Linked DNA regions of Drosophila melanogaster. The protein of the gene in region 2 purifies or fractionates together with the protein of the main gene of each other region. This does not show direct contact. Each region holds a gene or a part of one and is shown on either strand. Other genes may lie near its edges.

Region 1 (4,192 bases), on a different chromosome or scaffold from region 2:
AATCGAGTGAACCAGTGGCCACAACTGTTGGTCCTTTTATATCCGCAAGGACCTCTGCTCGGCAAAACTCGTCCTGCAGCCCGAATGCCGGCAGCCAATGAGAGTCCTGCAAATCGGCGGGCAAATGACTTCGTCTGCACGGAAAGTGAATCTCTAGGTTAGGCGAACAAGGTTTTATGGCCTCACTTGTTGCTCCTTGGCCAAATCTGAATGGTAATCGCTTGGAAACGCCGTCGCGTGCCGCCAGCAATTAATGCGTCTCTTTGGTGGCACTCGTGTAGACTGCTTTAAGACGATGCTGCCTTAATACGCCCGGTGTTTAGTGAACCCAAATCTGATAGCCCAGGGAAAAGGCATTTCAAAGGGGGGAAAACAATTACCAAAGTCGTAAGCAAAAGTAAATCATGTTGCTGCCTAAGAATCTTTACATACACACATTATACAGCATCCCTAAATTTAGTGTATTGACTTATTATTAGACTAGCAACGCCGTAATGTTTATTTTTGAATAATTTAACATTTATTTACTGACCAGATTCTAAATCAACTAAGTTCACTTGCGGTGCAGACCACCACCTGGACGAATTACTGCAGCGGCTGCCTTTTTGACCTCATCAATTGCATGCATCATGCGCTGCGGCTCAGTGAGAAACCAAATCCACAGGACTACGCTATAGCGATACAGTTTATCCCGCTCCTAAAAGGATAAACAACATTAAAATGTTATATTCCATGATTTTATAGTTAATTAGTATACTTACAATGCGCCCCACGACATTTTCCAGGAAATCTTTTCGCAAGGAACGCCCTGACTCATCCAGGCGAGTTTGCTGCTGGGTGACATTGTATATGGCGCTCAAGTAGCGAACGTTCTCAAACATGGGCTGCTCCAATGGGGAATCATAGACAAACGGCCGCAAAGTCTGCTCCAAGCGCTTGCTAAAAAAAAATATTAATAGCTTAAACGATCTGTATCAAAGTTAAGTATTGCAACTTACAGTTCTGCCAGTTGATCCTGAACAGCAGCACACGACTTTCGGTTCAGCATGCTCTGAAAGGAGTAAGACAGCAGGCGACCGAACTTTTCGTATTCGAAGAGACAAGCCTTGGCCTCAGTTGCCTTTATGTTCTGTCCCAAGTGGGCTGACAACAAATTGGCAATCTCCTGCACAAACTGGGCACAAATGCCCTGATAACTGGCGTTAATGGAGCGCATGGTCTGGATTCTTTGCCAAGTGGCCTGCGCTTGGTCGCGCAACTCCTCCGAAGTGTCCAGGCAGTTGCGCTTCTTGTCGCAGTCCAGTTGGATCGCAATCCACAGCAATTCCGCATTGGACAGAGCATCTGAGATGATTTTAGTGAGCTTCTTGTCGCTTTCATGACGTCGAACAGCTCTTTCCAACTTCAGTTTAGTGTTCTCGTAGAGAACCAGCTCAATACGTCGCTGGGTGTGCTGCTGAATGTGAATGGTTAGATCGTTTAAAAGCGTATCGTGTGTATTGCTCAGTTGATAGTCGTTGAGCAGCTGCAGATCGTGCATTTCACGCGCCATGTCCGTTAAACTGAGGCAGTGAATCTTGCCAAGATCCAACTGGTCAATAAGACACTGCGTGGCCTTCACCTTGGCCTTTGTTCTTATGTAGGATAGTGCATAAAACTGGATGCTGTAAAAACGGTCATATCAATTAATGTGCATTGTTTTTAGCACAGAACCTTTGTGCTTACCCACGTTCCAAGTCCTCCAGCTTGGCCTTTTCGCGCCCAAGATCTTCCTCCGCGCTCTGGAACTCATCATAGTCCTGGATCTTAAAATTCTCCTTCACATACAGAGTAAAGTATTGCATAAATGAATCGCATTTGTGGAAATACTGCTCCAATGGCAGTTGATGCATGAATAGAGGCGGCAACTGTGGGGCGGTGAATGCCTTTTTGGCTTCGGCGCTTAGCCGGCAGTTCTCCTGCTGCAGTTCCTCCAGTTGCTTGGCTTTGGACTGGCACTCGGCTATCAGATCCTTCTCCCTCAGTTGCAACTCGGCGGTGACGCACTCCACCTCGCCTAGGTGCTTAGTTATCGAGTGCTTTGTGGTCCTGCAAAAGTGGATTGACCATCGATCGAACATATATGAGGAAGGTTACAGTTTTTCCCTTACATCATATCTTCCAGAAGCGTAGCATAATCCCTTGAGGCATCTTCGATCGCCTCAATGCTCATGGTCAAGGCGTCGACATCCTGCTGCTTGTAGTTGAGAAGCCCCGGACTTTCGGCCTCGATTTGCAGGAGCTTGAGCTCGCGATCCGAAGCACTTAGCCACTCGCCCCGCCGCTGCATCTCCTCCCGCTCCAGAACCTGTCGCTCTGTGAGGATATTTGCATCCGTGATGTTCCCGGACAGGAACTTGAAGAACATCTCCATCTGCTCATCGTACAGAATCCACTGGTTCGAGCTGTCCACTCCCAGCTTCTTGAAGAATTCCGAGTTCTGCAATCATGGCGATTATAAGCTGATCATTAATTAAATCATCACACATACGCTCAGCAGATCGCCCATCTTTTAAAAAAATGACAACACAAGCTGATTACTTATCGGTTATATCGAAAGGTTTCAGAGACGTTACTAGAGATGGTACCTTTTGAAAATTAACAGGAAATAGTGCTTAATAATTAAGCTTAATAAAAATCGTAGAAATTCCTGATTTCCTATCAACGATTTCATGAAATATTTACTCTTATCTATTTCTGTTAAATATATATATATATAATATATATAATATATATATATATATATATATATATATATAATATATATAATATATATATATATATATATATATATATAATAAATTTCTGTTTATTATATATATATATTTTATATATGAATTATTTTAAATTTTTGCTATGAAGTAAGGATACAATTTTTCTAAATTTGACACAAGTTCTTAAGTTTAATTCAAGTAAATATTATGTTTTAGTACACCTCAATCTTAAAGGGCTTATAAATTGATCTTTGTTAAAATGATTTTAATACCTTATATCGATATGTGGATAAACGTGCACACCACCCCTGGTAAATAGAAACACCCTAACGCCATCTAGTTTGCAGCCCTGGTACCGCTTTGGACGCACTTCGTGTGGCAGTCTGGCAACCCTACACTGAATGACAAGTAAATTCTGTTCGTTTTGCAAAATAAACTTGTAAATTGGTATATTCCTTAGCAATGGTAAGTACCGCGCCCAGAAGACCGGTATTGGTCTGAGAGCCACCATTGGGCCGATGACCATTGAAGGCTAGCAATCGTGGTAGTAATTGACTTGCGTGTATTTTCCCAGGCTCGCCGCTATGATTCCCGCACCACGATCTTCTCGCCGGAGGGCCGTTTGTACCAGGTGGAGTACGCCATGGAGGCCATCTCGCACGCCGGAACCTGCCTCGGAATCCTCGCCGAGGACGGCATCCTGTTGGCAGCCGAGTGCCGCAGCACAAACAAATTGCTGGACAGCGCCATTCCTTCGGAGAAGATCTATCGCCTGAACGAGTGAGTTGAAATTTCAGTAGTATATCCTACGATGAATTCAAGGGTCACAGGCCATATATTTAACTGGCCATGATCTTAATTACCCACTACATTCTCTACGAATCTATCTCTATCCAAGCCTCTTTGTTTTCCCTCAGCAACATGGTCTGCTCGGTGGCTGGCATCACCTCCGATGCCAATGTGCTGACCTCAGAACTGCGTCTGATTGCCCAGCGTTACCAGTTCAGCTACGGCGAGGTGATTCCCTGCGAGCAGCTGGTGTCGCACCTCTGCGACATCAAACAGGCGTACACTCAGTACGGCGGAAAGCGTCCCTTCGGCGTCTCGCTGCTCTACATGGGATGGGACAACAAGTACGGCTACCAACTGTACCAGTCGGATCCCAGCGGCAACTACGGCGGATGGAAGGCCACCTGTATTGGCAACAACTTCGGTGCCGCGATCTCCATGCTGAAGCAGGAGCTGGCCGATAAGGAGAACGTGAAGCTGACGCTGGCGGACGCCAAGGATTTGGCCATCAAGGTACTGAGCATGACCCTGGACACCACCAAGCTGACCCCGGAGAAGGTCGAGATGGCCACGCTGCAGCGTGTGGACAATAAGACCGTATACAGTGTCCTGGAGAAACCCGATGTGGAGAAGCTGATCGAGAAGTACAC
Region 2 (5,371 bases):
GCCCTAATCGAGGGCTGTATGGTGAGCGTGATCTATGCCAAGACCGCACGGCCGGCGAGGCAGCTGACCAAGCTGAAGTTCAGCGATAAGGCGGTGGTAAGTAAAATGCCTCCACTGGGCGAGAGGAGTACACCCAACCATTCGGATCCATCCTTTAGCGATTATCTCACGTAGATCTGTTATCGCGACGGCAGGCTTTGTTTGCTCTTCCGCGTCTGTGATCCCCGCGAGCAGCAGTCCATCGAGTCCAAGATACGAGTCTACATCATCGTGGACAAACGGTGAGTCACAGTCGCATTTTAGGGAAAATCATAGAACTTAAGAATCCGCGGTTAATTTGGGTATATTTTCCTATTTTGTCTTGATCTTCAACGTTTTTTTTTCAATATTTATAAATGCTATAGAAACAATTTAATCACACTTGACTCCTGAAATATTGACCCAGTCATAAGGAAAGTCATAAATGAACTGACCTTCCATTCAGATAGTACTTGCTGCTGGATAAAACAAGCAATTAATACGAACCCCCATCTTATCTATTTCTCTGACAGCACGCGCGAGGGTGAGACTATAAAAAGTCACGTGGAACTGAAGCTGGAGGGGAATGGGGAGCAGATTATTCTCTGGCCCGATGTGGTGTGCCATGTCATCGATGAGACCAGCCCGTTGTCTCAGTTCACCACAGCGAAACTCTTCAATGCTGCCCAATTTGAGTTGTATGTGTCCATTGTGGGCACTTCGCCTGCCACAGCGCAGATGACGGAGGCCAAGACGTCCTATCTGCCAAGGGAGATTTTCTGGGGCCAGCGGTTCGTCAATATCATCCATTACGACGCCCAAAACGAGCGCTACATTGTCGACTACGAGAACTTCAACAGGACCATATCGGTGGACATGCCCATGACGAATCCGAAAAATGATCACTTAAAGCTAGAGTACAGAAAGTGAAAAGGGTTTTAAAAAATACATTTTAAGAAGCTTTCTTATCGCATTACACTTTTGGCAGCACTATATTAATAACGAATTCAAAAACATTTTATAGACCGAGGTAAATATTCTAAAACATTTGTAAAATATCTAAATGGATCGATTAACGAATTAAAATTTACATAAAACTCATGAGACGCCAAAACCTATTTTGAAAAATGTTACTAATAGTTGATAATAACAATAAATTAAATACAATAATAACAATGTTTCAATTAATTATTAACATGTCTCCCCCTCGTTTTACTCTCCGCATGATTCAGTTTGCTCCTGCTCCTGGTAAAACTTCAATTTGGCCTTTAACATTTCGTTTTCATTTTGTAGGCGCGAGAACTCGCGCATGAAGCTATCTCCTTGAAGTAGTAAAGCCAGGGCGTCCCGGATCTCCCTTGTGTTTTCCACCTGCTGGTCCATGTAGTTGGTCATCTTATTAGCCAATAGCCGCTGATTAGAGAAGGTAACGTACTCCAATTCGCGCTCCACCTTCTCGCAGCGCTGGTCTACAAAATCTCTTAGCTCGCTGAATTCCTTGCGCCAATCTGCATCCATTTGGGCGGAAAGTCCGCTTGACGATTTGGCCAGCAACTGCTGAGGCTTCAAGAGAGGATTTGAGGATTGTGGTGTGATGTTAGCATGGTGCGGGGTACTGTTTCGACTGGCCGAAAGCAAGCGCAGACGGCGTTTCATTTCTGCGTCAACCGGCGGGGGATTCTCTTTGTCGCTGCCGCCTCCTGTGCTGCTGGCCACGGAAATGTTGGCAGACTGCTCCTCGCAGAGCTCGTCCGTCTCGGCAATCTTCATCAGCTTTCCGTCTCCGGAAATGTTGCTCCGATCCTTCAGTGGGCCGCTTAAGGTCTCTGCAAGTAATAAGCTTATTATAACTAAAAAATAATAATCTCTACAGTAACTTGCGTTGCAGTGACTCCGTGGTGGAGCTGTTGACGGAGTTATCCACCGAGCTTGGGCCAGACGCCACTGGAGGACAAAGACTTTGACGATTGGCAGTTTCATAAGGTTGCGGTTTTCGGTTGAGCGTCTCCCAGTCAAAACTATCTCTGTAAGAGGCGCCCAAGCGGGTCGACATGCGATCCACAGCTCTTGGACCTTGGGCATCCAGGAACTCGCAAAAGGAATCCCGGCGAACTATGGTAGGTGTTGACACCCCGTAACCAAGACTGGTCAGCTGGTTTTGGGTGCTCAACAAATTAGCGGCAATCGATTTACGCAACTCATCGCTGGGCGCACGCTCTACACGAGGAGCTTCGGTCGCCAAACCAGTTGCATTTTCGGAGCTGTTGAGGCTACCGTTCTGCTGGTTATCCCCACTTGGCACGGGCACAAAGGCTACACGTGTTACAGCCGCATCATGTACACTCCTCACGGCCAACGGAGCCTTTGTACTCCTCATATCATAGGCTATTAATTCGCCCTTAAGGTTTCCAGCACAAAGATAAGTGCCACATTCACTCAGCGCCACCGTCGATAGTGGATGCGAGTAGGTCAAGCGATCCGTAGAGGCCTGAGCACGATTTCGTCGAATGTCGAAGATATTTATCTTGCAATCGTAGCCCACGCTGACCAGCAGTGCCGGTTGGGATGTGCACATACTGATGTCCCGGCAGGGAGCACTGTGGGCTTCGCTGGCATGAAAAATCTTTCGCATTCCCTGCACATCATAGACAGTCACGGCTCCTTTATAGGAAGCGATCGACAGATGAAAGCGTTTGCTCGGATGAAAGCGCACAAGAGTAGAGCTGATATTAACAGGATAGCGAAAGATCAATGCAATCCTTTAACAAGCAAGCCTTTAACTTACTCGCCATCTATGGTGAAGGTGTTGGTCTTCTGTTTGGTCTTGGTACCCAAGATACTGATGTCCCCGCCATCGCGCACGGCGGCTATATACTCGTCCGTGTTGTTGTAGTCCATGTAGAGGACAGTACTCCTTTGCGGGTCCGCCGGAAAACGATGGATGAGCTGTGCCGTCCGAAAGTTGTATAGCTTAACACAACCGCTCTGACCCACAGCGATCTCTTCCAGGGATTGCTTGGCGCACGCCACACAGAAGGCATTGTCGATGGTGAGCTTACGGACTCGTTGAATCTCGGGCGCTGTGAAATGGGAAGTTAATTACATACGTGGGATTTGGGGATCCGCACCTCTCTCTTACTCTTGCCATCCTTCTCCTTTATTCGCATCACGGCCAAGCCCGCCATTTTATCCACCTCCACGAAGACCCGGCGTTGGCCGTTGAACTGAAAGTCCGTGGGCTCTGCGTTCTGGTGCACATACTCAGACTTTGTCTCCAGATCCGCGAAGTCGGAGAGCACGGTTTTTTTAGACGTGGAAATAACATGCATTTTGATTTATTTCTTCAGATATTTACACAATTCAAATTTGAGTGCTTTTGTTCGGACTGATTTAAGAATGTGCCCGCTGCTTTATTACCTGAAAATTCCAAAGCTCGTCCGTCGATTTTCCAAGTGATGTTAGACAAATATGCTGATTCCACTACACATTGTCCTTATCTAACACCTTTGAATTATATATCAATATTGCTTTTAATCTTTTTCTGTGTTTTACCACGCCAGGCATAGAGATCAAATAAATAATAAAAATAATTTTTTAAAAAGCGAACACAAATTGTTTGTTTGCCGCTGGATTTCGCAGTGAGAACGCGTCGGCCTGCGCGGTCACACTAGTCATTCACAACCAAATTCATCGGATCATTGGCAGAAAGGCAAGAAGAAGAGCAAGCAATCACCTGCGAAAAAGAAATAAATTGCCGAGAAATGTTAAAGACGTTGTAGTGCGGCAATTTGGCGTGCGTTGAAATGACTCCTGGCGACCAGTAGAAGCATTTAGTGACCACGCTACTCATCCCCCGTCCCCCGCCGCAGCGGCTGAGCCACTGGACAAAGGCCAGCTTACAACAAAAACAACACCAGGGAGACAGTCACGGGCCATTGGCACCCACACAAGCACACACACGCACGCACTGCGTAAAAGCAAACAACAACGATAACAACTGGGAACGGAGGCCTTCAACTGCAGGAAAGATGGAAGCTGATGGACTGACCAACGAACAGACGGAGAAGGTCCTCCAGTTCCAGGATCTCACCGGCATCGAGGATATGAACGTCTGCCGCGACGTCCTAATCAGACACCAATGGGATCTCGAGGTATGCATATGTTTATATGCCCACACAGTGAATGTCAAAATAACAGGGTCACGTAGTCTTGCAGTCTTGCATACAGTGGTGGCTGCAAGAATACTACTACCAACAAGTTTTGTACATATATATTATCTGACGACTAAAGATAGTAATCATTTTATTCTAAATTCTTTTTAAATTTGTTTTTTACAATTTTGCGTTGGGCGCCCTGCTATACTAAATACCAGCTTATTTACCCTTTTTCATATCTACATATGCAGGTGGCCTTCCAGGAGCAGCTAAATATCCGCGAGGGGCGTCCGACCATGTTCGCCGCCTCTACAGATGTCCGAGCGCCCGCTGTCCTTAACGATCGCTTCCTGCAGCAGGTGTTTTCCGCCAACATGCCTGGCGGAAGGACGGTTAGCCGGGTGCCCAGTGGCCCCGTTCCCCGCAGCTTCACCGGCATCATTGGATATGTGATTAACTTCGTGTTTCAGTACTTCTACTCCACGCTGACGAGCATCGTCAGTGCGTTTGTGAACCTGGGCGGAGGAAACGAAGCCCGCTTGGTGACAGATCCACTGGGGGATGTGATGAAGTTTATTAGGGAATACTACGAAAGGTATCCCGAGCACCCGGTCTTCTATCAGGGCACATATGCCCAGGCCCTTAACGATGCTAAGCAGGAGCTGCGTTTTCTAATCGTTTACCTGCACAAGGATCCCGCCAAGAACCCAGATGTGGAATCCTTCTGCCGCAACACACTGTCGGCGAGATCGGTCATTGACTACATTAACACACACACCCTGTTATGGGGATGCGACGTAGCCACGCCGGAGGGCTACCGGGTGATGCAGTCGATAACGGTGCGCAGCTACCCAACGATGGTGATGATCAGCCTTCGAGCAAATCGCATGATGATCGTCGGACGTTTCGAGGGGGATTGCACGCCCGAAGAGCTGCTCCGTCGCCTCCAGTCGGTGACGAACGCCAACGAGGTGTGGCTGAGTCAAGCGCGTGCAGATCGCTTAGAGCGGAATTTTACACAGACTTTAAGAAGACAGCAGGACGAGGCATACGAGCAGAGTTTGCTTGCGGACGAGGAGAAGGAGCGTCAGCGGCAAAGGGAGCGGGATGCCGTCCGGCAGGCGGAGGAGGCTGTGGAACAAGCTCGACGCGATGTCGAGCTTCGCAAGGAGGAGATTGCCCGGCAAAAGATCGAGCTG
Region 3 (4,837 bases), on a different chromosome or scaffold from region 2:
GTGCGGCTAGACATGTGATAGGCGCGGACCATAAAGACCAAAAGTAATACCATACAATAACATGTATACAGAGACACAAAAGTACATATCTCACATTCATGAAGTTTAAGTTAACGATAATTATTATAATTTTCGAATTTAATAAAAATGAATTCATTGAAGACACACTTTTCAGTTTTGTTCTTATTTTATTTCTCCATCATTATATTCACTCATTTTTTTTTATTTTTATACAATTTGTTTCATACTTTTGCCGTTCATTCATCTAGAACGCTCAACCCACTCATTTCAGAAAGTCTGATTTTGCAAGGATGTAACAGATCGCTGAAGCCGCAATGAAGAACAATAGCTATAAGATATGACTTTTAAAAGTATATATATAATAAACCTTAATACTGCCTCAAAGGTTGTTTATTTCAATAATAATCTTAAGTCCTGAAACTCGAATTTCGAAAAGCCTGGTATACTTATAGATGTATTTAAAAGAAGAAAATTGCTTTCAAGCTGAAAGATTTTAGTTTTAATTTCATATGGGTAATATTAAAAACTAAAGTAAAAAGTATATTTCGTTTAAAAACCTCATAACCAATTAGAAAAAGAATACAAAATCTATTACCTAAACAATATTGGCCATTCGCGATTCCCGTGGACTAAAAGATAATATCCTTGAGCACGCTATCGCTGATGTTCTGCAGGTCATCCTCACCACCAATCTGATCAAAATCGAATTTATGCGAGACATTGAATGCATTCTTATCGTTTTCAATGTTGAAATCGGGATCAAGCTGCAGTGAGTCCTGTAAAAAAAAGGAACTTGAGATTCGTATATTTCGTAGGCACGTATTATTGTTGATCCCACTTACATTGATTGTTCTGTCGTTGAGCTGAAGACGTGGCGCGACATCTTGCTGGTGGCTCTCGGTATGTGGAACCAGTGCATCTAGGCGTCCAGATGGCGAGGTGCTAAGATTAAGCACATTCCGTGATACCTCCAGGACCTTTATAACCGCAGCGCTCTTGGCGATCAGTGAAGTGTTGTTTTCCGAAGTGCGCGGAATGCGCTCAATTCGGGTGCACTCGCTACCACTCAAGGGTGTAAAGGGATCGCTGGGATCCGTTGGTGAGGTCTGAGGTGAGATCACTGCTGCTCCTGGCACCGGCGCCTCATCGAAACCGAATGACGCTTGCATTTGCTTCCACTTGCTGCCCAGGGAGGAGAGATTCGCCTGCGGAGCTGCCTTGACCTTGGAGGTGTTTTTGTGAATGGTGCGCAGCATTTGCATGGGATCGTTGATCTTGGATCGGTTTAAAGTGCCATTAAGGTCAATGCCGGTCGATTGATCAAGGGCTTTCAGCTTGCGTGCTGATCGAGGCGGCGCAGGTGCTGAAAAGGAAAACTCATAAGGATGAGGGTCACTAAGCGAACGGTTTAGTTCACTCCTTACCGAGTAAGCTGTTGCTTAAGGCATCAAACTGTTTGCCATTGAAGTCATCTTGCAGTGCAAGACGCACTGGGGCATTGCGACCGCCACCGCCGCCCATGTCGATTCTGATGGGAGGCGTGGAAACAAATTTGGAGCTGATAACCGATTCGAAGCGAGGCGTGGCCGGCTGAAGCGTCTGTACCCTGGCGGAGCCACTTGCATTGGCACTTCCCTTGTCCTTTTTGGACGGTTCGTTTAGTTTCTTGAGTAAATTGTTCAATTGGACTTCGGACTGTGAAAGTTCCACTCGAAGAGCCTGCAAATCGGTGGTGACAAACGCATTCGATTCGTTGTAGTGGTCATTAGCATCCAGTTGCTCGGCAATTGTGCCGCTGATCCGATTAAAGCCGTTTAAGAGCGCATCCATTTTTGATGCGCCCAAAGGATCGTAGAAATCTGCGAAGGAATTGAAAAACCATTTAAATTTAAAGACCTGCAAGGATGCAACCAAAGATGTCTCACCTCCTTCTGTGACTGCATCACAGTCGAACAGCACTCGCATGCCCCGAAGTGCCTTCTCCACCGCCTCCTTGCTCTGGTTGTTCTCGGCTTGCTTCACCTGGAAAAGATCGATGGCCTCCTTGAGACCGCACAGAGATGCCTCCAGGTCGAATTTCCTTTCGGTGGGTTGGGTAATGACCCGCTCCACGCCGAGTGCAGCGGTGGCCTCGAACTCATCCAGAAAGCCATCGTCCGCCAGTTGCTCCTCGGGCACTCCCATGTCTGCAGACAGATCGGCCATCAGGCGTCTGATCTTCTGGGTCTTGTCCCGCAACAGGGCCGTATTCTCCTCCAGATTGACCACATACGAAGAAGCGTACTCCTTCATCACGGCATTTTGGCGGGCCATGACCTTGGCGCTCACGTTTGGTGTTCCCGCCTCTAAGCCAAGTGACTTCTCGCGCTGCTTGATGAGCTCCTGGATCACGAAGCCCACGAACTCGAGCAGGAAGTTGATGAACCTCATGCCTCCGGGCATCACCACCAGATACGACTTGATGTTGGCCCAATGCAGCTGGTGCTTCTCGTTCAGATGCTTCAGATACTCCACCGTGCTGGAGCGAAAGTTCGCCTCCGACTTCTTGTCGGTGATGGGCCAGAAGAAGCGGCGTTTGAACTCCGCGGGATCCAGCAGACGGAAGAGGTAGTGCATCACATGCACGAAGGCCACCTGGTTGGGCTTGAGGAACATGTCCCAGGCAATCAGCTTACGCAGCTCGTCCGGCAGGGGGTGCACCAGGGCCAGTCCCTGCAGCTTCCTGTGGAGCTTCTCGCTCTGCTCCTTCTCTTCGGCCTTCCACGGTGCAATTATGGTCCGATCCATATTTTAGCACAGAAATTAAGTAAAATATGGCGGTTTAGTTTGAAGTTCTTTGTTTTTGTTGCTGCCCAGTGTTACCAAGTGGTTGAATTCAACTGAATGAAGACGTTCCCACTGCCTGTTTATATTGACGAAAAATGTTATATAAAAGGGATAAATCTATTTATTTTCCCTAGGAATAGTAACTGCGAATAGCATTTGTGTTTTTTAAATGTTTTTTATAATATTTCCCAGATATTTGTTTTTAAGTACAAATTTATTTCCCTAGTTACTCGATTGGTATAAATCCAATGACCTGCCACGGTCACACTAGATTCATAGTTCGGAAATTTGTCGGTTGCTGGAGTTTGTGGACGAATTTATATTTAATTTTTAAGCACTTGGTAATTAACTAATCGACGTTCATTTCGAAGTGACCCCCTGACAAACTAAATAGTTTTCGGATAAAGCTCGAGCCCAGTCACTGGCTGACCCCCAACGAGCCGAAAACCTTGGCATCCGGGTCCAACGTAGCACTTTCTTTTTGTCCGCGGCGGAGAAAAATCAATATACGCATGGGGTATAGAAATCGAATCTCGGCGCATATATAGTATAGATTACAGACAAATAATCTGGGGGACAAGCGAACGTCCGCCCACCGAAACGATAACCAAATCAGCATGAAAATATGTATGCGACACGGCCGCAAAACTTAGGAAGAAACCCAGTTTGGCCATGAATCATGCAATTGAATGGGCCCATTGTGTACTATATATGTACATATGCATTCTGATTTAGTGTCTGTTCTCCATTCGCAGATATCGGGAATCCGGCTGCCACAATGGGTTCCCTATTCCGCAGCGAGGAAATGGCGCTGTGCCAGCTGTTCCTGCAGAGCGAGGCGGCCTACGCCTGCGTCTCCGAGTTGGGAGAACTGGGATTGGTCCAGTTCCGAGATGTGAGTAGGATGGGTTACATAAAGCTGCGGTCGAGGCAGCCGCACTGACTAACCATAAACCACAATCATACCCCTTACCTCATTAGCGAATTCGGTATTCCATGAAACGTCCCCTTTAACGCGAATGCAAAGTAAATGCAAAGCTGGTGACACCAGCTACTAAGTGTATAGTATAACTACGTGTGTTACCTCATTTAAATAAAATTGAAAAATATAGTGGCATAAGTGCTATATCTTGATCGCACAAATGAAGTATCTTTGAGATCCCCCAATAACAAACCAATCTTTTGAAATCCGCAGCTCAATCCCGATGTCAACGCTTTCCAGAGGAAGTTCGTCAACGAGGTGCGCCGCTGCGATGAGATGGAGCGCAAGCTGCGTTACCTGGAGAAGGAGATCAAGAAGGACGGCATCCCCATGTTGGACACCGGGGAGAGTCCCGAGGCCCCGCAGCCCCGCGAGATGATCGACCTGGAGGTATACGCCGCCATACTCCCTGTTTTCTGCTAAACACTGTTGAACTTATATGGCTTTCTTGTCTGCTGCTCAGGCCACCTTTGAGAAGCTGGAGAACGAGCTGAGGGAGGTGAATCAGAACGCCGAGGCCCTGAAGCGCAACTTTCTGGAGCTGACCGAGCTGAAGCATATTTTGCGCAAAACCCAAGTGTTCTTCGATGAGGTAAGCTGCGGCATGAGTAACTCCATATGGGTATCAGCTAACAAACTGCGATCGGTTACCGATTTACCATTAACAAATGCCGGCCATTGAAGCGGCCGGTAACTAACCAAATTTTCTAAGCAATAACCAATTTCCCAACCGACAACACAAGTGTGGCAGCCACGACTTCTAGTCACATAAGCAATCTATCCCAAATTACACTCTAAAATTATTTCCCCGTATCTCCCCACTCGGCACGTATATCCTCCTTCTCTGCTTCCAAAGGCAAACGAAGTGTGCTTTCTTACCCTTCAGTTTGAGTTTGTACATATATATCGTAATGTGCGTTTGATATCAGTTGATGGTTATTGTTTCTTTCGGTCGCGTTCCTGGGCAATCAGAGGAAAGCCATGGGGCAATAGGTTCTAAAATATATT

The links.
Region 1: the proteins of Grip71 (region 2) and dgt3 purify together in Drosophila melanogaster (affinity purification with western blotting, with the first as the bait; one study listed by BioGRID). This does not show direct contact.
Region 3: the proteins of Grip71 (region 2) and dgt6 purify together in Drosophila melanogaster (affinity purification with western blotting, with the first as the bait; 2 studies listed by BioGRID). This does not show direct contact.

The regions. Positions count from the first base shown.
Region 1 is NT_033778.4:20,991,776-20,995,967, forward strand, and holds dgt3 (dim gamma-tubulin 3), read right to left. Parts: upstream 2,607-4,192; 5' UTR 2,549-2,606; coding exon 2,531-2,548; intron 2,480-2,530; coding exon 2,151-2,479; intron 2,089-2,150; coding exon 1,726-2,088; intron 1,665-1,725; coding exon 999-1,664; intron 940-998; coding exon 762-939; intron 698-761; coding exon 554-697; 3' UTR 501-553; downstream 1-500. Other genes in the region: Prosalpha3 (proteasome alpha3 subunit), read left to right, coding at 3,216-3,218, 3,328-3,533, 3,671-4,192. UniProt on the Drosophila melanogaster protein: As part of the augmin complex, plays a role in centrosome-independent generation of spindle microtubules. The complex is required for mitotic spindle assembly through its involvement in localizing gamma-tubulin to spindle microtubules.
Region 2 is NT_033779.5:18,706,914-18,712,284, reverse strand, and holds Grip71 (Grip71), read right to left. Parts: upstream 3,440-5,371; 5' UTR 3,348-3,439; coding exon 3,158-3,347; intron 3,099-3,157; coding exon 2,804-3,098; intron 2,742-2,803; coding exon 1,900-2,741; intron 1,845-1,899; coding exon 1,231-1,844; 3' UTR 988-1,230; downstream 1-987. Other genes in the region: Irk3 (inwardly rectifying potassium channel 3), read left to right, coding at 1-96, 175-281, 552-948; Faf2 (Fas-associated factor 2), read left to right, coding at 4,047-4,169, 4,424-5,371.
Region 3 is NT_033777.3:29,128,084-29,132,920, forward strand, and holds dgt6 (dim gamma-tubulin 6), read right to left. Parts: upstream 2,890-4,837; 5' UTR 2,809-2,889; coding exon 1,947-2,808; intron 1,881-1,946; coding exon 1,446-1,880; intron 1,385-1,445; coding exon 864-1,384; intron 798-863; coding exon 651-797; 3' UTR 501-650; downstream 1-500. Other genes in the region: Vha100-1 (vacuolar H[+] ATPase 100kD subunit 1), read left to right, coding at 3,626-3,742, 4,043-4,219, 4,293-4,421.